3 linked regions of the Drosophila melanogaster genome follow. The protein of the gene in region 2 interacts with the protein of the main gene of each other region in a pairwise test. Each region holds a gene or a part of one and is shown on either strand. Other genes may lie near its edges.

Region 1 (7,694 bases), on a different chromosome or scaffold from region 2:
TGCAGTATCCCGATCTCAATCAGACCACATATCCCAATCTCTCCAAGACCGTGTTTGTCATCTTTATGATCTTCGTACCCATCCTGTTGCTCAACATGTTGATTGCCATGATGGGCAACACCTATGTGACTGTGATCGAGCAGTCGGAGAAGGAATGGATGAAGCAGTGGGCCAAGATTGTCGTCACCCTGGAGCGCGCTGTTCCGCAGGCGGATGCCAAGGGCTATCTGGAGGCATACTCCATCCCGCTGGGTCCGTCCGATGACTCCGGTTTCGAAGTGCGCGGCGTGATGGTCATCAAGAGCAAGAGCAAGACGAGGGCCAAGCAGCGAAAAGGAGCCGTCTCCAACTGGAAGGTAAGTTGCCATACCCCGTACGCATCCTAATGCATTCCTAAGCCAATCCTCTGCAGCGCGTGGGTCGTGTGACGCTAACGGCGCTCAAGAAACGCGGAATGACCGGCGAGGAGATGCGTCGCCTTATGTGGGGCCGTGCCTCCATCTCCAGTCCCGTGAAAGTGACGAAGCAGAAGCTTAAGGATCCCTACAATCTGCACACGGACTCCGACTTCACCAACGCCATGGACATGCTGACCTTCGCTAGCAACCCGGCTTCCTCCAATGGCGTCACCCTGCGATCGGTAACAGCGCCTCCGCCCGCACCGCCAGCACCGGATCCCTTCAGGGAGCTGATCATGATGTCGGACCAGCGACCGGAGACCCATGATCCCCACTACTTTGCCGGCCTGCAGCAGCTGGCCAATAAGGCTTTCGATTTGGTGGAGCAAACGATGAAGACACAGCCGCAAGCGCCGGTGGCCAAGAAGGTGGATCCACTGCCAGTGGCTTCGGTGGCCAAAGCATCTCCAGCCGCTCCTGCAACACAAGCTACTGCTACTGCTGCTGCTGCTTCCGATCTAATGGCCATGCCACTGCCCATTTCGAACTTGAGCAATCTTTTCCAAGACCCCAAGGACATTGTCGATCCCAAAAAGCTGGAGGAGTTCATGGCCATGCTGGCCGAGGTGGAAACCGAGGAGAGCGACAGCGGCGGACCCATTCTCGGCAAGCTATCGCTGGCCAAACGGACACACAATGCCCTATCCAAGGCGGAAATTCGACGGGATCAGCAGGGATTCGAGGGTCACAGCCATGGACAGTTTCAGCCCATGTCCTCGGTGTGGGCACCACCTGGCCTGGATGTGGACACGGTGAGTGGATAAAAAAAGTGAAATAGCTGAGTGCAAAATGTAAACCCACTAGCAGGGCTTCCACTTCGATGAAGCCGTCGCGGAGGAGGTGCTGACCATCGAACAGGAAGCCGAAGTGGAGACCGAGGACGGCAATGGTGGACAGGACAGCGAGGATATACCCACGGCGGAGGAGGTGCACGCCACTATGAAGCAGTTTCACCTGCGCAAGTGCCAGCCAGCACAGGATGAGGCCGCTCGTCGCGCCAAAAGTGCTCGTGTTCGTCGCCGAAACAAGTGAGTTCCCATCCCAGTGTCCGTTTCATATCTTAATCCCACGTTTTCCTTGGGCGCCAGAGTTTCGCCGGAGCAAAGCGATGATCCGGACGAGCGCAGCCAGCGGGGACGTTCCGCTTACACGCGGCGAACGCAATCGCCGCCCGATCCGCTGGAACCATGGAGCACCCGCGAACTGCAGGACATCAACAAGATCCTGGCCAGAAAGTGAATACAGTTAGCGCAGGAGTTTCTGGCACATAGTCCTTGGTGGCTTATAATTGTTTATCAGATCTTAGCTTAGTTAGAAGTACAAATACATAATAAAGAGCGCGGATGCCACGCGAAACGCTGGGTTATGCTTTGGACCGGTGGCATCCGTCACCCGTCACATACATACACTAATACACTCGATTTCCCATTATTCTCTCTAAGTGCTAGGTTTAAAAGTGGTGGAGGTGGCGGTTTTTTTTTTTGGAGAAGGTGAAACCTGCTGCCAGGGGGCGGGAGGGTCAGCAATAAATTACAATTGAGAAATCGTTTCTACACAGATGCCTACGACTTAGACACTAGCTATATATAATCTCCCCCGCGATATACAATCGTATACACCTACGTAAACTATAATATTATACATTGTGCTGGATGACAGGGGATGGCGCAATCAATGCCCGCTTGCCAATGCCCGATTCCAATGCCTCCCGATGCTTTCGATATGATTGCCAACTGTCCGTCTGTCCGTCCGTCCGTTGGTACGGATATCATACTTCCAGCTTTTACCGAAATCCGCCGGTTAATGTGCGATCCGTGGACATGGTGGAGATCGTTTGTGCCTGTTGCTGCTGCGCCGACTGCTGCTGCTGCGCCTGCGTCGCCGCCGCCTGGGCACCAGTCATGGTCGAGTTGATAAAGATCGGCGTGCCACTGGCCACCGCACTGGCGTTGCTCTGCTGCGTGAGATTGGCGTGCTGCTGCTGTTGCTGCTGCTGCTGATGGGCCACTGTGGGTGCTCCGCCCAGCTGGAGCAGTTGCTGTGTCGTCAGCAGTTGGGTTGGTATGATGACCTGTTGTTGCTGCTGCTGCTGTTGCTGCTGCTGTTGTTGCTGCTGCTGCTGCTGTTGCATTTGTAGTCGCTGCAGGAGATTCAAATGACTGGCATTGATGGCGATCTGCAATGGGAAAGGCAAGTCTTAATCTGGGATTCAATACAATTACCTCAAGTGATACCTACCGGCACATTAGTCAGCTCCCCCGTGGGCGTAACCACTTGCTGCAGCAGCTGAATCTGCTGCTGATGTTGCTGGTGCTGCTGTTGCTGCTGGGCGAGATTCTGGAGCAGCGCCGTCTGTTGCTGGGCAGTCGTTTGCGGCGCTGGCGTTGCGGTCAGCTGACCATTGGGACCGGCGGTCAGTATCAACTGCTGGGTGGGTTGTTGGGTTGACAAAATGTTGATGGGTAGATGATTCTGCGCGGGCTGCGGCTGCTGCACGAGCTGCGCCGCCTGCTGACTCGGCAGTGCGATAAAGTATTGCAACTGTTGGCCACCAGCGCCCTGCTGAATAATCTGAACCTGCTGTGGATGTGCCTGGTGATGTTGCTGCTGCTGTTGTTGCTGCTGCTGCTGGGCGGCGTGCTGTTGCTGCTGTTGTTGTTGCTGCTGCAGTTGCGCTGAGAAGATGTCCGAGTTGACAGTGCTGAAGCCGAGCACCTCGGCGGCATTGGTTGCACCCGTGGTGTCCAGCTTGAGGCCACCAGCGGTGGTCGCAGGTACGGTGGAACCACTGGCTACAAAGTTGCCCGTGGCGGTAGCATTGCCCGCCACGGAGGCGGCCGCATTGGAGGTGGCTGTGTTGGAGGTGGAGGCGGCACTGCTGGCTGCGCCCGCCATTCCGCTCGAACTGGATGTACTGCCATCCTTGGTCTTTTGCGCCGACGACGGTTTGATCTCTTCGCGCGGCACAATGTCGATGAGGAAGTCGAACTGGTCGTAGTTGGCTATGGCCTGGGCAATGTCCGAACGCTGGAGCGTACGCCGCCGGCTCTCCTCGGTGTGCACCCAAGCGTGCATAGTCAGCTCCTGAATGAAGTACTCGCAGGCTTTGGCAAACAGTAGCGGCGCCTCGCCGGCAATCATCTTGGCGTTCTCGTCCAGCTTCATGATTTTCTTGATGCGCGCCAGCGGCAGCACCTGGTGCTTGGCATCCACCTGGCCGATGCTGTGCACCTCGCTCACGATATTTGGCCAGAAGTTGTCGATGGTGGGCGGCGGTTTGCGTGCCACCTGAGTTCGTGTGGCCTTCGTGGTCTTCTCCTTGGCGCCGCTCGCAACGGTGGTGGCCACCGTCACACTCATGCTGGGATTAACCAGCGTACAGGCGTTGGACACCAAACTGGCCATGGGAACCGTCTGCTGTTGCTGCTGGCCCTGCTGTTGCTGCTGCTGCTGGGCGGAGGAGACGGTGGAGGAGGAGGTGACCACCACTGCATTCGGTGTTCTTCGCTGCATAGCCGCTGAATTTTGCGATTTGGCATACGCCTGGCCCAGTTCCATCTTTATGGGCGTCACTGTGATGGTGTTGTCGAACATGGAGGTGGCATTGCTGTAGGGCATTCACATTAGTTTCATTCAAATTATTTGGCATGCACAAATCGCAGAATGAAAACAAAAAGGATCGGCGCACACACTAAAAATCTCGGCTGTACCGCCTGTTTTTTTGGGGGAGGGGCGCTAGATTTTGCTGGCGGAGGCGGAACTTACCTGTTTGGCGCCTTGTTCGTGCCGCCATTGTTGGTGGCGTACATGGCCCGGTTGGCTGGAGACCTTAGCTCGGCGTTGGCGGCAACCGTGGGACTCTGGCGACCGGCTCGAGTCCACAATATTCGCTTTAATTAGCTTCTAATTCGCAAAGCAAATGCGTAATGTAATGCACACACACACACATGCATACACGCGAGCGTCAGTGTGACCAGGCGGCGGTGAGGGCGAAAACTGGACAGCCCGATAACGATAGCTTTTAGTCGGGCTAACTGGCTACTTCCAAGCCACATTTAGCCGGCACAATCGACAATCGCATTCTGCCCGCTTTCAAGCCAGATCGGACAGCACTTACCGCTGATAAGGAATGCATCGAATCTAAACTACAATCCCAATCCCTGAGAGAAACGAAGATGAAGGACCTCTTCTGGCACCTGGTGGGCATAGCCACCGGCCTAAAGATCCTGCTGATTCCAGCCTAGTAAATGCAGTGCTCTGTCCACTTATCAAGCCCACTAAATCAACTTCATCCTTAGCCATTCCACGGATTTCGAAGTCCATCGCAACTGGCTGGCCATCACCCACAGTTTGCCGCTGAATCAGTGGTATGTGGACGCCACCAGCGAGTGGACACTGGACTATCCGCCGTTCTTCGCCTACTTCGAGTGGCTGCTCTCGCAGGTGGCCAAGTACGTGGATCCACGAATGCTGGTGGTGGATAACCTGAATTACGAGTCCAAGGCCACCGTTTACTTTCAGCGGCTCTCGGTGATTGTTACGGATCTAGTGTATGTGCTCGGCGTGCGCAGCTGCCTGGGCTCACTGGGATTGGGCAGGGATACGCAGCAGTTCTTTGCCGCCTCCATGTTGCTGCTCCTCAACGTGGGATTGATCTTCGTGGACCACATTCACTTTCAGTACAATGGCTTGCTGTTCGGCATACTGCTCCTGAGCATCGGTTCCCTCATCCGGCAGCGGTTCCTCTGGAGCGCCTTTGCCTTCGCCGTGCTGCTCAACTTTAAGCACATCTTTCTGTACATGGCGCCCGCTTTTGGGGTCTACCTGCTGCGTTTCTATTGCCTGGAGCAAGCGAGTGTGGTGTCTGCGGTGGGTGCCGTTGTCAAGCTGCTGGTCGTTGGACTTACTCCGTTCGCCGTGTCTTTCGGACCCTTCTGGCAGCAATTGCCGCAAGTCCTCTCCCGTCTGTTTCCTTTCAAGCGTGGCCTAACGCACGCCTACTGGGCACCCAACTTCTGGGCGCTGTACAATGCCGCCGACAAGTTGGCCGCCGGAGTTTTGAAGGTACAGGATGGCGGTGCCTCGACGACGTCAGGATTGGTCCAGGAGGTCAGGCACTCGGTGCTGCCAGCCATCACACCGCCTGTGACTTTTGCCCTGACCGCTCTCTTCATGCTGCCCATTTTGGTGAAGCTCTTTCGCAGTGCCAAGAAGTGAGGAAATCCTCGTTTGGATTCCAAGATATCGCAGCAAACTTATCCGCCATCTCTTTGCAGACAAAGTCCGCTGGTCTTCCTGCGAGCGGTGGTTTTGTGCGGCTGTTCCTCCTTCGTCTTCGGCTGGCATGTGCACGAGAAGGCCATCTTAATGGTGCTCCTTCCGCTCTGGTGAGTTCCCTTCCCCTCAGTTAATTCGAAATGAAGGAATCCTACTAACAGGCCCACCCTTTTTCAGTCTGCTCACGCTGGTAAACCGGGAGGATGCCAGATACGCCTATGTCCTTGGCATTGCCGGCTATTTCTCTCTCTTTCCGCTGCTCTTCGATGCGGATCTGTACATTCCCCGGTATTCCCTGTACATGTCGTACGTGGCCATGATGTACGGCCAGCTGTATCGCATCTTCCCCGGCTTCCGAGGCTTCCACACGCTGGAGTGGCTATACATGCTGGGCTTCATGGCTATTCCGCTGTACGAGCATCTGCTCTCTTTCCTGCTGCACCTGGACCAGCGCCTGCCCTTCTTGCCCCTACTGCTGACCTCCGTGTACTCGGCGTTGGGAGTGCTCTACTTCTTTGGGGCCTACTATCTGTACGCTCTGGGCATTAGCTGGGGCAAGGTGCCCATCGCATCGTCCACATCCGCGGCCGCTGTTAAGAGAAAACGAAAAACCAAATAAACGGAGCGCTATAAAGGGCTTCAGCAGAAATCCGCAATTGGTCACGTCTTGCATTCAGAGTGGTAGTGCTGGTGGTGCAGCCGAGCAGTCTTCAAGGCGCCTGGCGCAACAGCCAGTTCGGCGCCGCTGGACGGGATTCTCTGGTCCGATCGGCACAATGGACAACGAACAATGGCTGTTAAGCAGAATTCGGTGGGCAGGTAGCGGTCACCGGCGGCGTCTAAGGTGCCACGTACCTGTTGGCACGACCAGATTATGGCCTTTTGGGCCATAAAACAGGTACGAGGCGGAATAGTCGGCCGGCCGTCCGTCCGAGTGGGTGACATTCCTGGAAAAACCGTGGAAAACACGCTGGAGCTGAATGAATAAGTGTATATCAATTGCCAGCCTGGGCAGGGAATACTTCAGTTGACGAGCTTCCGTCCAGACGAACAGATCGACATGCAGATGCACATGGAACTCTCCTATGGCCGCGGCTACGATCCAATCGGGAGGCAACCACCGTCTCTTCCTCCTCCGTCGCAACAGCACTGGTCCAGCAAGTAAGCAAACGATTCGGCACTTTTTCCCATCCAGTTAATCAGTTGCCTCAATTTTAGTGGGTTCTCCGACGACTCCGCTTCCTGCTTCCGTCGGGGATCCTATATTGAACTGGCCAGCGGAGCCATGCGTCGCGTGGAGGACATACGCACCGAGGACTTCATCCAGTCGGCGCTGCGCAGTCAACTATTTGAGCTGCGAGAGGCGACAGTAGTGAGGATAGACTGGAGTGGATGCCCCAGCCTGGTGACACTCACCTTCAGCTACGACACACACCACGCCAAGGTGGGTTCGCCAATCTGTACCCATATTCGTCTCATCATTGACCAATGTTTCAGATGGACTTGCAGGTGCAGCCGGGTCATCCAATGTTTGTTTACGGACAGGGCTGGGCCTCCTGCGATCCACAGTTGTCGCTGCAGCTGTACGAGCTCAAATGCCAGCAGCTGCAGGTGGGCGACATATGTTTGTCGCTGGTGCCAAACGAGCAGCCCGCCGCACCATGTCCGCCTCAGCCGGCGCCGCCACCGCCGTGTCCGCCTCCTTCTCTGCCCCCGTCCATGGAAATGCCAGTGCCGATGGGTTCTCCGCCTACCGGAAGCTATGGATTTCTGCCGTTTAAGCATCCGTACGAGATGTACGCCCAAATGGCCAGTTTTGTGGCCGTGTACACCCAGCACATGATGGGAAAGCTAAACTATTAAGCCACAAATTTGGTGATTTAACTGGCGTTTCAGGAATATATTCAACGCTATTCCTTGAGTACGCCACGCATTTACAAATTTAATCTAGGTACAAAA
Region 2 (7,345 bases):
AGATTATTAAAACAAAGGAACGATTTGCTAAACAACTTTTTGTCACGCCCACTCTAACGCCCTAAAGCCGCCGAACCGCCGAACACTTTAGAAAATATTTTTAAGTTTTTCTCATTTTATTCTCCAATATCTATCGAAAAATTATAAAATTTCGCGTTCGCATTCACACTAGCTGAGTAACGGGTACCTGATGGGGGATAGGTAGGGGAACTCGACTATAGCATTCTTTCTTTTTTTTACATTACTGACAAATGCCTTACAAAAGATTTACAAAGATCTGTGGAGCCCGACAGATGAGAGAGTAAATGAATTGAGTTTTTGTTAGGTGGTTCGAAACGTAGAACCTATTCTGACCAACAAGTGTCACAGGAATAGCCTTCGCCCACCTTAAACGAAATTAGTTGATAATTTCGTCGTGAATTCGTTGAAGAGAAGTATTTCCTATCATTAGCTTGACATCAGATCCCTGTGCATCGTGGATTTGCTGTAAACTGACAGACGGAGACATGGCGATGGTGATTGCACTACAGGCTACATTATCGGACACCCTGCGAAATGTATCCAAGATGACGAACTTGCCTATAATATTTTCCCCTCTATTCACGAATAGAGAGCGATTCTCGATCGTTTATGCAGTAGTTTTCTCAATGTCAAATACTTTTTTAACGAAAAAAATGATGCCATCTGGCCACATGACACATCACATAAGTTCTGCTTTAGGAATAAGATGAATTTCATACTAACATTCTGAAAGTAATAATTAAAGACGTGCAGAAAGGAAGAGGCACCTAGATAATAGTTAATGATGACGTGTATAATTTTTAGTGTTTTTACTCGCTGATTGTGACGTTTAATTCCCCGTGCACAGCAATAACAAAAGACTATGCTATAGTGGAGTTCCCCGACTATCAGGAACCCAGATATCAGAATACAATTAGAATGAAATAGGCGGTTTATGGGGGTTAGAGTGGGCATAGCAAAAAGTTTTGTTTATCAAATTTACAACACCAGCGAAAATATGAAAAAAGATCAAAACATTTTTCAAAAGCACGGGCGTGACAGGTTTGGTAAGTTTGTAGGTGTGGCAAAATGGGTCAACAAACTTGCGCTGCTTCTATGTCTCTAGAATCTGTATGCTTAACCTCAACCTTTTAGCTTTTATAGCTCAAGGACTGCTAGGTTCGGAAAAATCGAATTTCTTTTAATTTGAAATCTGGTATCGTTTGCCACGTCCAATTTTTGAAATCAGAATTTTCGAAAAAGATATAAAATCAAGAAGTTGAGGTTTTTTTTTTAAATCGCAATACCATTGTTTGTTCACGTTTGACCACCTTTTAGAATTTGAAAAAATGTATAATTTAGAAAATATATGACATAAAGCGTTTGACCATCGCTTACAACTAAATATTATCAATTAAAAACGTTTGCAAAACCATTATTATTATTTTCTTATCGTTTGCACACCCTTAAAACAAAAAAACTAAAAAGAAGTGTAAACTGCGGTTTTAGTAACTGATAATATTTTTTCACCAGATCGAAGGTGCTCTAAAAAATCGCGGTCGGTCATATGCAGCGGTTTGCACTGCCACTGACCACGAAAAATGCCCTCTTTGAACAAGAATTCGACTTTATTCGTTTAAAACATCACCAGATAGATATTGCGAGCCATTATAGTTAAGGCCATCTTTTGGTTTCATTTAGCGCAGTGCTGTACATCGTCGATTGCTTGTCTTTTGTAATGGTACAGTGGTGTTCACAAACTCTTGTGATTCTGTATATGGCTATGGATTTTGTATATAAAGAGCCTGAGTCGATGAGAACTTCGGACTTCTAAAAGTTTTGGGTTTGGTTGGGTTTAATCGGCCAACGCAGAAGTCAACAGCAGGCGTGTGATTTTCGTTGCCAAAATGGTCTCCTTGCTGATCTCAGGGACTTATGAGAATTCGGATCAAGGCTGTGCACAGGACAACTGCGAGGACGACTATTTTACTACATCCGGCGACGCCTTTTTTCGCTTCCAGAGAAGACACTATCATCGAGGTGCTTGCTGCTGAACCACGGATAAGTATTAGGGTTCTGGAAAAAGAGAGACCCCAAGATGCGATGCTTGCCGGACATCAATTGTTGTCACGTTGTTAGCTTCACTTTAATGTGTATAAGTATGTGAATTTGTGAAAGATTTTCATTTAGCAAAAGTAATGATTATTTAAAAGAGTTTTGGCTCGCGAACCGGTTCACCATTATAGGGCACTGTAACTACACGGTTCATGTAACATACTATATATCACCGTACTGTCTAGAAAAAAATCATGCTTGCGTAAGAGTGGGCGTGGCCAGAATGTTTAAGTCATTACGATTAAAAAATTAAGGTTTCATACCATCTATTTTAATTATATCGCAATGCAAAGATAAATGAAACATGTCCCAAAAATGAATTAAAAATTATGGCGGTTTATTTTTATGAAATAAAAGTTTACCCGCTTAATATTCTCTTTAATTTGCGAATACATCAACTTCTTGCTAAACTCTTTTGTATGTATACAATATACTTTTTTTGCCAAGAGTTGAGGAGTATAAAAAACATTTACCGATGAAACGCTTTTGCCGCATTGTCGTTGTTATGGTTATGCCCTTTGGCTTACCAGCATTTGACCCGGAACCTGCAGCAGCGTTTAAAGCGTGAGACAGACCAAGGAATACGCGGGACGAGAAATGTGCATTGACTTTGTTGTTAGAAACCGCGCACTTTGCAGTGCATTTATTCCGTCGTCGGTGTTGAATGAAACAAAAGTGTCGCTATTATTTAACGACAACAGCTCCTTGGACTTCAGACTCTTTGGGGTCTCTTAAGAAATGTTGAGAAAAGTGACATGGCTTAACACATCGGGGGTCTATTCAAAGGACAGATTTATAAATTCCATTTAACCGTTTCTTTAATTTGTATATCGCCTATTTTTATTAAACAATAAAACAGTATTTATAATTCAATTGGCTTTTAAAGGGAGAGAATAATTTTAACATTCGATTAGCCAACAGTAGATGAATAGCCTGAATCCAACGTATAATCCTAGAAAATTCTTGGACTCATTTATTTTGAAAACTTCCGCACAACCTTTAAATGTCATCTCATGGGAATGGTTAAACCATACTTCGATCAAGGCATTACAATAGAAATGTCTACTTCTTCCTTTGGAGACTTAACAGAAAATTTCACTTTCTTTGTTAGCGCTAAATAGGGGTTTGAGGATCTTAGCGATGCAACCTGCACCTGGTCTTGTGTAATATTTATTACGCTTTCTATTAAATAAAGCATACTTTTGTGAGCAATTGTTTGCCTTTTCTGTGCGGTCCACCCGCTAAGTTACAACAACGTATACTGCAGTTGACAAGTGTATGGGGAATTTTGTAAATGAAGTAAACTTATCCCAAGCCCGAATGACTACCGATTGTTGAAAAGAAATAAAATTAGTTTTCTATGCTTTCTTTTATTTTTCAATGGTTTGCTTGTGTAAGCTTTTCATAATTAGTCGGCTTTATTTTATAAGGTAAGTTTACTTTGTCAAAATTGTTGAACTCAACCCAACAACGCATTTCAGCCAGCTTAATTGTACTGACAACTTACATGTACTTGGATGTAATTAATCCACGATGTTTTTAAATATTTAAGTCACTTTTCAACAACTCTCACAATTCACGCTGCATTTCATTTTTGCTAAATATATATCGATCCTTGGCTATCCTTTTTCGTTTTCGAATTCTAAGCAATAGTATTTTTTAAAAACTTCCGCACAATTCGAATCAAATATCTCGGGAGCGCACAACGATTACCGGAAACGCGGAAGCGCTGGTGATGACGGCCACTTGTGGAATGGCTGAATGAACGAAGCGGTGCCATCGGCCGACCCGAGTCCAGACAAAAGACGAATCACAAGCCTGGCCGATGGGAGTCGAGTCGAGCAACAAGTCCACCCAGCAGAGGGGGCTGGAGCTTCCGCCCGCACGAGAGCCTGAGTCGAAACAGACTGGCGAATGGAGAGCAACTGAAAATACTCAAAAACGGAGTGGATTTCTGAGTCAGAGTGTTTTTTTTCGTATTTTCCAAAGTATTGAGGTGGCACCGCTGAAATTAGAGGATTATGTTATCTGGGGTCCTTTAATTAATGCCTGCATATTGACATTGCAGTCCGTACCCACGATAACTCCTTAATATAAATACTAAGTAACTGTTTGAATAAATTTTTTTTATATGAAAATGTTTACGAATGTATCTAATGCGAGTTCCGTTCGACACATTAAAGTGTAATGGTATTTCCTGCACTATTTTTAAAGTTTCATAGCCAAATGACTGCAAAACCAAGAAAGTGTTTGTTTTCGAACCCAAAATTAAATAAACTCAACTCGAAACTCAAATGCGAAATATTAAGTATTTATCAAACCAAAACTCCGTTGGCAGGGCATGACGTTCCTCTACTCACTCCGACATTATATCAATAAGTACTAGGTCCCATGAAAAACGAACGTAAAAACGTAAAACGAATATACCCTTCCCGGCACGTTGTCCCAGGCTAGCTCACACATACACAGATGCAGTTCCAACGCCACCACATATTTGCCCAACGGGGTGGATTGTGGCTCGGAGTTCCTAGACATGGACACCACGTGCTCAGGCTCAACTCCAGAGGGGGGTATTGAGCCATAGGGCAGGGGCACCCACAAGGGACTATGGGAAATTTTACCACTTTTTCTGACCAAAATGAATAACTCCAGAACGGAGTAAGATATTTGGTTTTTCTTTTCTTACATTGACTTATACTAGACCATATCTATGAGACTTCCAAAACTGTGGGCGTGGCACCACGCCTTATATTTAATTAACTAATTTTCGTAAAGGGAATTCTCCTTTATATAAAATAATACTAACAAAAACAAAAGAGAATGCTATAGTCGAGTTCTCCGACTATCAGATTGGGGAATAAATCATTTTTGGGGAATAAAATGAGAAAAAATTTCCAAAGTGTGGGTTTAACCGGTTCGGCGGCTTTAGGGCGTTAGAGTGAGCGTGGCAAAAATGTTTTTGTCAAATCGATAGGAATTTACAAGAATAATACAATTTTGAAAACATTTCAACATTTCACAAAATGCGGCCGTTTAGGCGGTTTTAGGGCGTTAGAGTGGGCGTGGAAAAATGGGTCAACAAACTTGTGTCTGTCTCTAGAATCTGTCTGCTGCATCTCAACCTTCTAGCTTTTATAGTTCCTGAAATCTCGCCGTTCATACGGACGGACAGGGCCAGATCTTCATACGGATAGTCGGACAGACGGACATGATAAGATCGACTCGGTTATTGATCCTGATCAAGAACATATACTTTATATAGTCTTAATCGCTTCCTTCTGACAGTTACATACTTTTCAACGAATTTATTTACTCTACGAGTAACGGGTATAATAATAAAACAAATCAGCAACAAATCAGCAACCGCCTTGTTGAACTCCTTTTTAGCATAAAAAACTTAACAAGAATACAAAGCTACAACATGAGGTACATTTCATTGATGGACTTTTTAAGTTAAGTCTTTATCAAACAAATGCTTTTGTAAGGAAATTTATATTTTACTCAATTTTGGGTACAACACGATTTTTTTTTATTTTGACAGTCACATAAACTTAATACACTTAAATCAGCTGCTTCATTACAACTTTTGTAACGGAGGAAAAACTTAACGTAAATGTTTTTGTAGACGCAACAGATGTTTTTAACAGCATATTTCTTTGTTGTTGCTCCATATATATTTATTTCTAAACATTGGTCAATTATGAATAGACTTATTAAATATTGCATTAATCGACCGACTTTCAGAAAATGGCTTTTAGCCAGAAAAAGTGGGTAAATTTCCCATAGTGCAAGGGTCTAAGTGAGAGGCGGATGACTAGCCTGATTAGTACATGTGACGCATGTTGCTTGCGACGGCCTGCATTCGACTGCGGCTGACTTTCCACTTGGCTGTCGCCAGCTCCTTTGTTACCAACTCCGATTGACTGAGTGAGTTGTATACTGTTATTATTATTATCGTCTGTTTGTCCACGCTCTTGTTGCTGTTGGTTATCACAGTGCTTATGCCCTTATCGGGAGGGCTTTATCTCATGATAAACTATTGTCGGCAGATAATGAAATGTTGCTAGGAAAGCTATTTTGCTTATTCGAATGTTGCGAGCTTCCCTCCACGAATATGTGCGTATGCGGTTTTTTATATGACTAATATTTCTTTTGTTTGATTTGGATCAAAGGGATTTCAATAATTGCTGCAATATTGCATGGATAAAACTTTCATGTATAGAACACTAAGAAAAAAAAATATGTTAAGTTCACTGCTGGAATTGTAATTGTTTATTCCAAGTCAAAGTTGGAATTTGCCTTATATTAAATAAATAATTGTTGAGGTGGATAATATAATGGTGTAATGTATGAATTTAAAAATATGTTGCATGTAAAAGGAGCGTTACCCCGACCCGGGAAATTAAGTTCTCAGTTTTCTTCGAAATGATAGGAAAGACCTTTCTGAGTTGAGGGAACATTATAACTGATGCTTTTGGATTTAATACTTGCTTTAAAACTGAATTAAAATGAAGCATCGCTGCATTATTTGTTTAATATTAGTCAGCCAAGGAAAAAGTTTATTTACTGAAAATAAGTCCCTCTTCCCTTTTTATTTGCTTTTATCACTAATTCCCCTTCAGCCAAGTATTTCCAAATACAAATTGACAGTTAATATTTTTAAACTGGCAACTCAGTTGCAAGGGATGGGAACAAGAAATAGAGGTAGTACGAGCAGCATGTTGTCGACATTATGTAAATCACCCGTCGGCAGCGTAAGCAATTGCGCGCCCCACCTCTTTCAGCGAAAGCATGGAAACAATAAACAGGAAGAAAAACAGGAGACAGAGCTGTAAAAGAAGGGGAAAATTGTTTAGCCGAAAGCTTCTTACAGTTCCGGATAGGATAGGAACGTTTTGATTATTTCAGACTAGTGAGTCTTTGCGTTAGCGGTGCTCATCAACAGTTGGGTTTGTCCTCTGATCTGGTCTGTCGTTTTCTTTGACTTATTAAAACGAGCATTTCACTCGACGTTTTGTCTTGCACAAAGGTCAATAAAGAAGTGCCCATTTGCACCAATAGCAATATTGTATAAACATTGCACTTAATAGGGTTTTTAGAATTTGGTGCAGTAATTTACGAGTAGAATGCATAAGAAATACTCTAAAACCATTAGAAAATAATTGGTAATTGAACAAGAGAGAACAGTTTTCGCTTTCTTAAGTATGAGTTCTTAATTATGGTTTTTATA
Region 3 (10,282 bases), on a different chromosome or scaffold from region 2:
TGAACTGAAGAGAGCAAAGCCAGCGAACTGGATAACTTCCCATGGCCTTTTGCAGTTCCATATGAGTATCAATGCTCGGATACTCAGGTTGATATTTAGCTTGGGTTTCTGGTTCGGGCTCAGGGCGTTATTTTTTTATTTTTTTTTTTTTTGTGTGGGTAAAAAGAGTATAGCTGGGGTATCGGAATCGAAATCGATGCAGGGTCAAAAATTATTAATGGATTTTTAATATCATTTGTGTCAGCGTAAATCGTATTTAAAGAAATCAGAGGAAAGAGAACCGAAACAAAAAATCTGAAACGATTTATTGACCTGAAGTCAAGTACGCGGCGAGAAAGAGATGAGATGTACGAATATATATATATATATATACATATAGTCGTTGGATCTTTGTAATCCACAGGGCCTCCACTTGATGGTTCGATCTGGATGGGTATGGGTATGGGTATGGGAATGAGGATAGAGGATAGAGGACGGAGAATGGTAATGGTAATCGTAATGGCAATGGGATGGAGAATGAGAACCTGGACGACAAAGTGTGAAAAATGATTGATCGATTTCGTCTCGGATCTCGGACCTCGATTACGTTTCGATTTTGGTGTTCGTGCACAAAGGGTGCCGTGCTATTCCCGTGTTAATAAAGAACTTTGTGCCCGATTCCGATTCAGTATCTTGTTCTTGACTTTAGCCCGGTGACAGTGGATCTGTGGGACTCTGAAGTCCCTGAATTTTGATTCCAGCGGCGACAGCAACGACAATCGACATAATAAGATAGCAATTATTTATCAAATCTGGCAGGGGGCCGAAATAAATCGAAAGAAACGAGCATTTATTTCTCCAAATTTTTGATTAATGAAACCATTTCGCTACACAATAGAAGAGAAAGGAAAAACGAAAGTGTTGACTAGCACTGTCCAACATGAAAAAAAAAAAAATGGGGGGGCGACATCGAGATGACCCCAGAGAAGATATTTCCATTCGTTCCAAACAATATTAAAAAAAAAACCTTCGAGGATTGACTTTTCACCTTCGAACTCACATCAATCAATTCACAAAGGCCAGTTGGCGGCGCCGAATTGAAAAGTGACACTCAGCAATGGGGAATCGATTATAAAGGCACTCCACACATTAATATTATCAGATATTATTCTCAAATCAAGCAATTTGAGGACACCTTGTTGAATAGAATCGAGGCAGCATAAAGGTTGCTGCACTTGTCACTTAAATTGATGGTACATTCTGTAAAAACTTCGTTGAAAAATGATTTTCACAACACATCTAATTATAATCATTAATTTTCACATCACATTTTAAAGTGGAATTATGGTGCTTTTAAGTTTCAGATAAATCTGTTTATCTGAAAGAATTATAGTTTGGGTTTGGAGGATTTATTCCCACCTTCAGATTAAAAATTGAAGTAAACATAGTTTTTAGGAAAACAACAGTGAATAAATTGTGTTATTTATATATTTAGAACAATTAATGTTTCTGCAAAGGTACTTGCGATTACGCGATTACGAAAGCTAAATAAGAAACAACTAATTGAATGAGTGATGCATTGTATTTGAGAAGCCTTAAAGCTTAAAGCTTTAGGTTAACAAGAAACTGATTTGGGTTTGGTTTATAAGTAGTAAGTAAACTTACTTGAATGAATTTTAGTTAGAACCTTATATACCATTTAAACGTATGGTATGATATGTAATACTTAAAGATATTGAATGTTAAGAGAGTGCTTTTTATTAAGTCCTGACCATTTCCTGGAAGTCCAACATTGATGCTAACGCCTTGTGGGTATGCAACATAATAATGCGGTCCTTATTGTTATATTTTTTTATGGTGATTAATGCAAATAGGATTTGTTCCGTACGGTTTTTTTTCGCTTTAAGAACTTTTCTCGGACACTTGTGTGGATAAATTGAAGAACAAATGTGGCCAAATATGTATGTGTGCTTTTGTATCCTTATGTGGGACATTCCGGCGTCTAGCAAATACATACATATACTGTGTGGGAGTGTGGGTGAGAATTATTTTAATTCGGCAATGAAAAGGACAATGAAACGACAAGGAGCTGTGTATATGTGTGTAGGTGCTGCTATCACATAAGGCACTTACATACCGAAGCTGTGCAATTTACATAAGTTATACATGCATACATATGTACATACATATATAGTGGTGGTGGGGGCGGTCATGGTGATAGGATCGTTGAGGGACTGCGGTAGGGGTGTGGGGTGGAAAGAGGAAGCAGCAGCGTCGCTTCTTTGTCACCAGTGCTCGAATTCCATTGGTGCTGTGTGGCGACAGGGAAAAAAAATCGAAGCGAATCGCCCCCATTGCCAAAGTGTCACCCATACACAGATACACCTATACAGCGACATTCGCACCCACACACACACCCATACAGATGCACAGCGCAATCGCAAAACAAAGAGAGCCGCTCAACGCGGCCATTCGTGCGGGTGCGATAGGGACGGCGAGAGGGCACAGCACCGAGTGGACAAGACATCAAATGACAAAAATTTCAAAAGAACCTTCGTGAAGAGAAGCAGAGAGGAGAAGCCCAAGACAAAAAGTGACGTCGCAGCAGCGACAAATTACGTACTGTGTACTGTATACTGTGGCCATTGCCATTTCACTCTCGTTGCTCTCTCCCTCTTGCGCTCTTGTGCTCCGGCTCCCTCTCTCTCGCTCTGTCACACTATAGTGCCCGGCCATGTACTCACACCATCGAACCCAAGGCACCCATACCAGCAAGCGGCGAGAGCGAGCGCTGCGTTCTCTTTGGCTGGCGGCAGTGCGTGTGAATGTGTGTGCCGCACTGACCACACACACACACGTCGCATGTCGCATGTGTCAACCCAACGAAACGGTTTCGTCCACTCAGACGACAGTGTGCGAGCGGGCGCGAGATAGCCGCACGAGCGTGCCAAGCCGCTCGCACGCACGGGACGGCGCTCTTTCGCGGCGTGAGTAAGAGAGTGGTGGCTACTCTTGCCTCGCACTGCTTTGCCGACTGGGCGAGCGGGATGGACTCAAGTGCGGGCGGATCTCTCGCTCGCACTCGGGCGAGTGCCTAATGACCCATCGACGACAATGTGACGAAGGCCAATTCCAATAGCGCGCTCTCTCACACTCTTCCAGGTGCAAGAGCGAAAGAGTGAAAGAGAGAGGGCGCAAGAGCGAGCGGGAGAGCGAGCGAGAGAGAGCCAAATGTCACCCACCCCGCGTGTGCGTGTGTGTTTGTGTCAGTCAGTCGGTGTGTCGGTGTCGGTGTCGCCGCATTTGTCGCTCGCTCTCTGCCCGCTGCGCTGCCGGCGTCGCAGTCGCCGCACAAATTCGTTGGTGAAACGACAAATCGACAATCAGTGTCACCCACGACATTCGAAGAAGTGGATCTCTGCTGTCCCTGCTCTCCGCACATCCGCATCTTCGTCGCTACTTCGTTTGCCACTCCGCATATTCACATATTCGCATCCGCATATTCGCGTCCAGTCCACTCTTCTCTCTGCCGCGCGACCCAGTGCATAAGTGTGCGTGCATACGAGCGTGTGTGTGTGTGTGTGTGTGTCATCGTCAACTGTGAACGACCAACTTTTTTAATATCTCAGCAAAATGCAACAAAAATAAATGCACCACGGGCATGAAAACAACAACAGCACACAGCTCCAACAGTGAATTCTACCATCTGAATTTATCAACTTTTTACGCAACAAAATATCAAAACAAAACAAAGCGAAAGAAACCCTTTTTTTAAATCTCAAACCTGTGACAAAGTGAGAAAATCTAAAACAAAAAAAAAAAACAGCAATAAACCAAAATACAATAAAATATCTACAACTCGCTGCTAAATTAGCAAAAGGTATGTATAGTTCGAGTAAAGTTGATTTGCCGTCGGCACTTCAAGCAAAGAATTCAAATTCAAGTGAAGTCATAGTGAATATTTTTCGAGATCAGAGGAGTATTTTCTAAAAAGAAATCCTGGTGCCATAAAAATATTACCCATTCAAGAATTGTGTTATGAAATAGGAACGCAACAATAGGATTCTTTTCGTGGTAAATAATGATCTTGTTAGGATCACATAGGCTGCTAGTGGCATTAATATGGTATTACCATTTTCATGGGATCTCTGGTGATGTGCTGCCATCTTTTACCTCTAGTCTATGGATTTTCTTATAATATCCTGACTTTGCTAAATTGAAAACAGCTTGTTAATCCAATGTTCGTAAACCCATTTTTGTCTATTTGCTGCGTGAGCTTCGACGACAAAAAAGTGATGTCTTCGGGGGAAACGCCAAATGTCAAAGTTGTAATTAAGATTTTTGTCTGCGGTTTTCGAGCTCTGTTTTTCTCGTTGATGTCCGGACCATCGGCGTTGTCATCTTTGGACCATCGCATGCCCCTTGCATGCCCCTTGTGCCCATCGACTCCTGCTTATTATAATGTACTACTATTAACAGCAACTACAACAGCAATTATAGCCGCCGGATTGCTCACATCTCGGCATCTTCCATCCCCAACTGCCACACACCGTACTCCACAGATCTTGGATCTACCATCTACCATCTAAAGCGTCTCCCAACTCTCGGAATTCTTCAATCTTGTCGTTTCTTGTCTTGGGTACTTTCAACATTTTGCTGCCTTTGCCACTGCCGATAATCAAAAAACGTTTCGTCCGAGAGCCATCAAAAGTTGTGATTGGTTTTTCCCCTACCCCCAGCTGCCCAACATCACCCCCCCTTTCACCATCGGTGGCTTAAGACATTTTAAGCGTTTGACAAAAATAATTACCCATGTACATGCATACTCACCTCGATCTGTCGACCGCGTGCACTGAGAGAAAATAGAGAGGTTGTTATTGTTTTCCGTTGCGCCTTATTGTGCTATGCAAGATTGTTATGATGCTTAGATCTTGAATTGTTTTATATTGAAATGTTAAAAGATCTATATTTTTTTTTGAGTTGAATCTCTTTTTTAAAAGATTCTTGGAAGATAAAAAGGTATAGGCACCTTCAACTCATATGATATAGTTAACTTATAATGATCTAGAAAATTATTGCAACATCTTTGGGTCATTCTCTATTTCTTGAATGGTAACAATATTTTCGGCACCTAGTCAGAAACTGATTACTTCCAAGTACCTGACAATTAAGTTTTTTTTCCCCCCTTTTTGCTCTTCTTTTTTTTTTCTTGCGCTTTCGCATTTTCGCCGTGTGTACATACACTCATTTTAATGCTATTGTTGTCATCGTTACTAATGAGCCCCATAAAAAGCGACCATCTCCTGGCTTCCTGCAACTGTGTGCGTGTTACCTGTATGCCTGTATGTGTGAGCCATAGTCGTATGTGGTTTTCGGCTTAACTTTTTAGCTGGCATTGGGCAAGCGAATGCGAATGTGTGTTCGACTTTTGAGATCGAATCCAGATAGCCAGCCACGACATCGCACACACGATCATCACCATCGTCATCCGCATCTCACCGCAATTGTCCCCAGTTTTGTGACGCCCCTGGGTTCGGTTCACTTCTTTTTTTTTTTTTTTACCCCTGATTTGTTTCTGTTTTTAACGTCAAGTCGACTGCTCACAATTACGGTAGCGAACGGAGTCCACAATAAAAAAAATGAGCTAGCTCTGGCTTTAGCTTTGCTTTTGGTTTTGGTTTTGGCTTTAACTCCGACCGATCGGATCCAAAGTCGAAGTCCGACACTGATCGCCGCATGTTGTCGTCGCCGTCGACGTTGTCAGAGGCGATTTTAATGGCCAGAAGAACCGAAAAAGCTGTAAAAGATTTCGCTCGAGTAAATGAGGCAATGTGCACTTACACAAGTAATGCGCCAGTGTTAGTGTACAGTGGGCCTTGGCTACGACAGAAATTGGGTGCATAGGAACCAAAATGATAAAGATTAAACAAATGATGTAGCGTCAGTCACTGGGATACCCCTTTTGATTATTTCAAAATACAAAACATGGCAACTCTAGTTGTTCTACTGTACTATCGGCTCGACATGAAAGATATGCCGCCATCGGTGTCGCCGATATAAATGTTCGCTTGTCTGAGTTATTGTAAGCAGTGTGTGTCTTACCAATAAATCTAGCTGGATTTGCACAAAGTTGGCTAAGCTCCTTGGAAGCTTTCACTTGGGAATTTCGGTAATACACTTGAGATATGACTTTAGAGCGCTTTCCAATGCTATAGATTAGTGCTTTTGGCGTGGCAATGCAGTCATATGTACATATACATTCGCCTCAGATATTAATCTATATCTTAAGGATATCGAATATTAATTAATGAAAAAGCCATTTGAACAGCAATGGGGTTTTTTTTTTTTTGAAGCACACAGCTGGCAGCCTTAAAGACTTTCTTTTAAATCTGGATTTCAGAATGTATCTTACAGCAATGACCAACTAATCGCTGTAATCCACTGATTAATTGAGACCCCCCCCCAAAATAAAGTTTTCTCCCCTTGACTTATTCGACCGTCTTGACTTTTCGCACTCTAATTGCGCATCAATGACCACTGCCCAATGTCCCAGGTCCAGGAGTCAATGTCCATGTCCCCGGCACCACAGACCATTCAACAATTTGCCCTGCTGACTCTCGGCGATAAGGTTGATTCCAGTTTCCCAGTTGTAGTTGCGCAATCGGATTTGCCCCGCAACCCTGGCAATAGTTTTCGATTAGGACTGACCGATTCACTGACTTCCTGATTGACACTCCCTGATTGACACTCCTAACGATTCGTTTCTGTTTCTTGTTTGTTTTCCAGGCACCACCAGTCATCGCCATCGCCATCGCCAGCGCGACCATAGAAACAAAATCCACCACAGACGACATGGAGCACATAATGAATCCGTTCATGTCACCGGCTTATCTGCTGGGCCATGGCCCACATTCCCACCAGCATGTGCACTCCCATCTACCGTCACACCCGCAGCCAAATGCCGCCTCTCCGGCCAGCTCACCCGGCGGATCCAGTGGCTCTGGATCGGGATCGGCAGCGGGATCGGGCACTGGATCAGGTTCATCCTTAAAGCCTCGTCGCTGGGGCTCACCGCCCATCAATCTGGCCGGTCAGTTTATCAATCCAGCCACGGGAAAGAAACGAGTACAGTGCTCCATTTGCTTCAAGACCTTCTGCGACAAGGGCGCCCTTAAGATTCACTTTTCGGCCGTGCATCTTCGCGAGATGCACAAGTGCACGGTGGAGGGCTGCAATATGGTGTTCAGTTCGAGGCGTTCGAGGAATCGCCATAGCGCCAATCCGAATCCCAAACTCCATTCGCCACACATCCGGCGCAAGATCTCGCCGCACGATGGCCGCACTGCCCAGCAGTTTCCGGTTTTCTCGCCCGGAACAGCCGCAGCAGCGGCCGCTGTCGCCGGACGACTTCCGGTTGCCTTTCCCGGACTTCTGCCACCGCCGCCGCCGCATCATGGTCACCATCCGTACGTCATGTTCGGCGGACAGGCGGGTCTACATGGCTTGGGCCTGCTTTCCACCGGCTGTCAGGATCCCGATTCTGGATCGGTGGACAATGAACAGGATGCTGATCCCGAAGATGACAACGACTTTGTGTACGTGGACATGCAGGCCAATAGCTCTAGTCCGGCGGCCTCCAGCGAGGATCAGGAGGAACACGAACGGGATAATGAGCAGGATGAGGAGATGCACTGCAGCTTGAGCCTGGCCAGCAGTAGTAGCATTGCCGCCGATGAGGAGCGGGCAGCTGACCAGCCATTGGATTTCAGCCTTCACAAGCGTCGCAAGTCGGAGCAGGATCGGGAACAGGAGCAGGAGCAGGAGCAGGAACGGGAGCGGGAGGCGGAAAAGGAGCAGGAACAGGATGTGGAATCCGACAAGGAGCACGAACCCGAACAGGAGCATGAGCTGGAGCGTGAGAAGCGCTCGCCCAGCGATGCCTTCTCCATGGATCAGTTGCTGGGCAAGCGTAAGCGTCACGACAGCACCGCCTCCAGCTCCGCCTGTTCCACGGCAGCCGCCTCCTCCGCCTCTAGTTCCTCCGCCAGCGCTAGCGCCAATCCACCACAGACGAGCATCAAAATGGATCTGGACCCGGATAGCGACAGTGCCTACATGACCAGCCGGCGGCAAATGCTCCCACTGCCCGTTCTGGACCTCGAGGAGCATCATCATCTGCGCCTGCTGCAGACCCAGATGTTTGCCGCCGCAGCGGCTGCCGCTGCCACCAGCCAGGCACCGCCCACCGCCTTCCTGCCGGCGGGATCACCCGTGGATCTGGCCAAGGACTCGCCGCCCATGTGGAGTCTCCTCTCCGAAATGTACCGCTCCATGCTGCTGAAGACACAGCACCAGCAATACAACCACCATCACCAGCTGCAGCAGCAACACCAGCAGGAGCAGCATCATCATCTGACCCTGAGCCACCACCATCAGGAGCAGCACCATCATCTGGGTCATCACCACATGGGTCACCACCACCATCATCACCATCAGCACCACCAACAGCAGCCGCAACAGCAATCGCCGGCGGCCACGAATGCGCCGATTTCCGTCTAATGTCCAGACTGCTGATCCATGGCGATGATTTCTAGATGATTTCCTTAGTCAAATTTGTTTTTATATTTTTTTTTTGTGTGTGAATCGTATTTTAAGAAGAATACATTTGGTGGCGTGCTGCATTACACAAAAAGGTGGAGCTTCAGGTGGTGGGGCTGTGCCACAGCTTGACCATTAAATGGCTGGCACTCCTCCTCAGGCGCGACCCCGCAACACCCGCAACCAATGCCACTAAGTACCCCACCCCCCCCTCTGAAAACTGGAATTGCTCCGAAACTAAGCTTTTTCTGCTCGTACATGTGTTATATGGATTTTTTTTTTTTTTGGAAACCTATGTATAATGTATAATGTATACTGTAGTGCGACATCTAAGTGTATAGTATTCAATCCGTTCCTCAGTGTGAATGTGCAGATGCATGAATGAGAGTGTGTGTGTGTGTGTGTGTGGGATCCCAGGATCGGATCCAAAAAAAAAAAAAAATTAAAGTCTGTCATCTGAAAAGCGGGCTGGGCAGTGCAGAAGCGGGGATTTTGGAACGGGTTCCGTTTCCCTGCCCCCTCTATCGGTGTACAACGAAGTATTGATATTTATAACGAAATATATATTATGAATGGCATATATTAAATAGTTTTAAGACAATTTTTTTCGTAGCCAATAAAACTATATTGTATTGTATAACTTGGATGTACTAACACAGCAAGCAAATTCTATTGAAACATATCCCCCCCGTGTGTTAAAAAAATAAAAAACCAGAAGAGATTCAATTCAACCAATCCCTAAAGAAAAAAAATAAACCCAAAAAAAAAAAAACAAAATTATAAAAATCCATCGCAAAGGTTGATAGATCGTAGGTGAACGAAAATGTTATTGCTATCGCAAACGAAAATTCCTCCCGACGATTGTGTACTGTATTACAACAAGATTTTAAGTTTTTTATTAACAAATAAACAACGGCAAAATTGAAGAAACATGTAATCAAAGATGCTTTTTTTTATTGGTTCTCTGGGCGGATACATAATTTTCATGTTTTCACTATGAAAATAGAGCATATGTACTTTATGTGAATAATATAGATGAGTCATCGATTTTATGCGGATTTTGTTTTTCCATTCGAAAGATATAAAGTCCAGTGGAAAATATCTACAAAAAATTGCTATTTTCGTTAAATGCCATTTAATTCAGATATATTACTGCCCACCTTAAATCATTTAGTAATGTTTTTACGTAAATAGACCGATGTGCGTAACTCATTTGGATCACAATCACAAGTCAAGCTAGCTCTTCTCGCCTGCGAAAAGCACACGTACATATTTGCTTGTCTCAACGAATCCAGATTCAAATGTATATAGTATTGGTCTGATGAGATCTATAATGGGCAACGCCCTCGAAATGGTCTGTCCCTCCCGTTTGCACAAATGAGTATCCGAAATGCCGACGGACACTCACAAGAAGGCGTGACATGCGGCATAAATTGGTTTTCGGCTCCGCAACTATAGCATAGCATACCATACCGAAACCATACTTTACGGTTCCGAACCATACCATACCATACCAAACCAAACCATACCATGCCATACCATACCATGCCATACCATACCATATTCCTATACTCCATCCAATACTTGTACATATCGTACTCCCCCCGCGAATCGTCGTGATGAATGACCAACTATTGGTCGCAGCGGCAACCACATCATCATCATCATTATGGATAGGCATTTGAGGCCACTTATGGACGGATTA

What was found.
Region 1: the proteins of dimm (region 2) and Nf-YC interact in a two-hybrid assay, tested with the Drosophila melanogaster proteins (one study listed by BioGRID).
Region 3: the proteins of dimm (region 2) and disco interact in binary tests that used the Drosophila melanogaster proteins (3 or more experiments, as listed by UniProt).

Annotation. Positions count from the first base shown.
Region 1 is NC_004354.4:6,816,460-6,824,153, forward strand, and holds Nf-YC (nuclear factor Y-box C), read right to left. Parts: upstream 4,461-7,694; 5' UTR 4,268-4,460; coding exon 4,224-4,267; intron 4,066-4,223; coding exon 2,697-4,065; intron 2,635-2,696; coding exon 2,242-2,634; 3' UTR 1,719-2,241; downstream 1-1,718. Other genes in the region: iav (inactive), read left to right, coding at 6-356, 413-1,210, 1,266-1,486, 1,547-1,697; xit (xiantuan), read left to right, coding at 4,634-4,701, 4,757-5,671, 5,735-5,845, 5,913-6,354; Atx-1 (ataxin 1), read left to right, coding at 6,796-6,896, 6,954-7,179, 7,233-7,598.
Region 2 is NT_033779.5:21,328,304-21,335,648, reverse strand, and holds the start of dimm (dimmed), read right to left. Parts: upstream 3,894-7,345; 5' UTR 3,623-3,893; intron 1-3,622. UniProt on the Drosophila melanogaster protein: Transcription factor that regulates neurosecretory (NS) cell function and neuroendocrine cell fate. Acts as a master regulator of common NS functions such as Phm expression and neuropeptide production.
Region 3 is NC_004354.4:16,209,828-16,220,109, reverse strand, and holds disco (disconnected), read left to right. Parts: upstream 1-3,359; 5' UTR 3,360-3,859; intron 3,860-6,765; 5' UTR 6,766-6,831; coding exon 6,832-8,538; 3' UTR 8,539-9,512; downstream 9,513-10,282. UniProt on the Drosophila melanogaster protein: Required for the establishment of stable connections between the larval optic nerves, the Bolwig's nerves, and their target cells in the brain during embryonic development.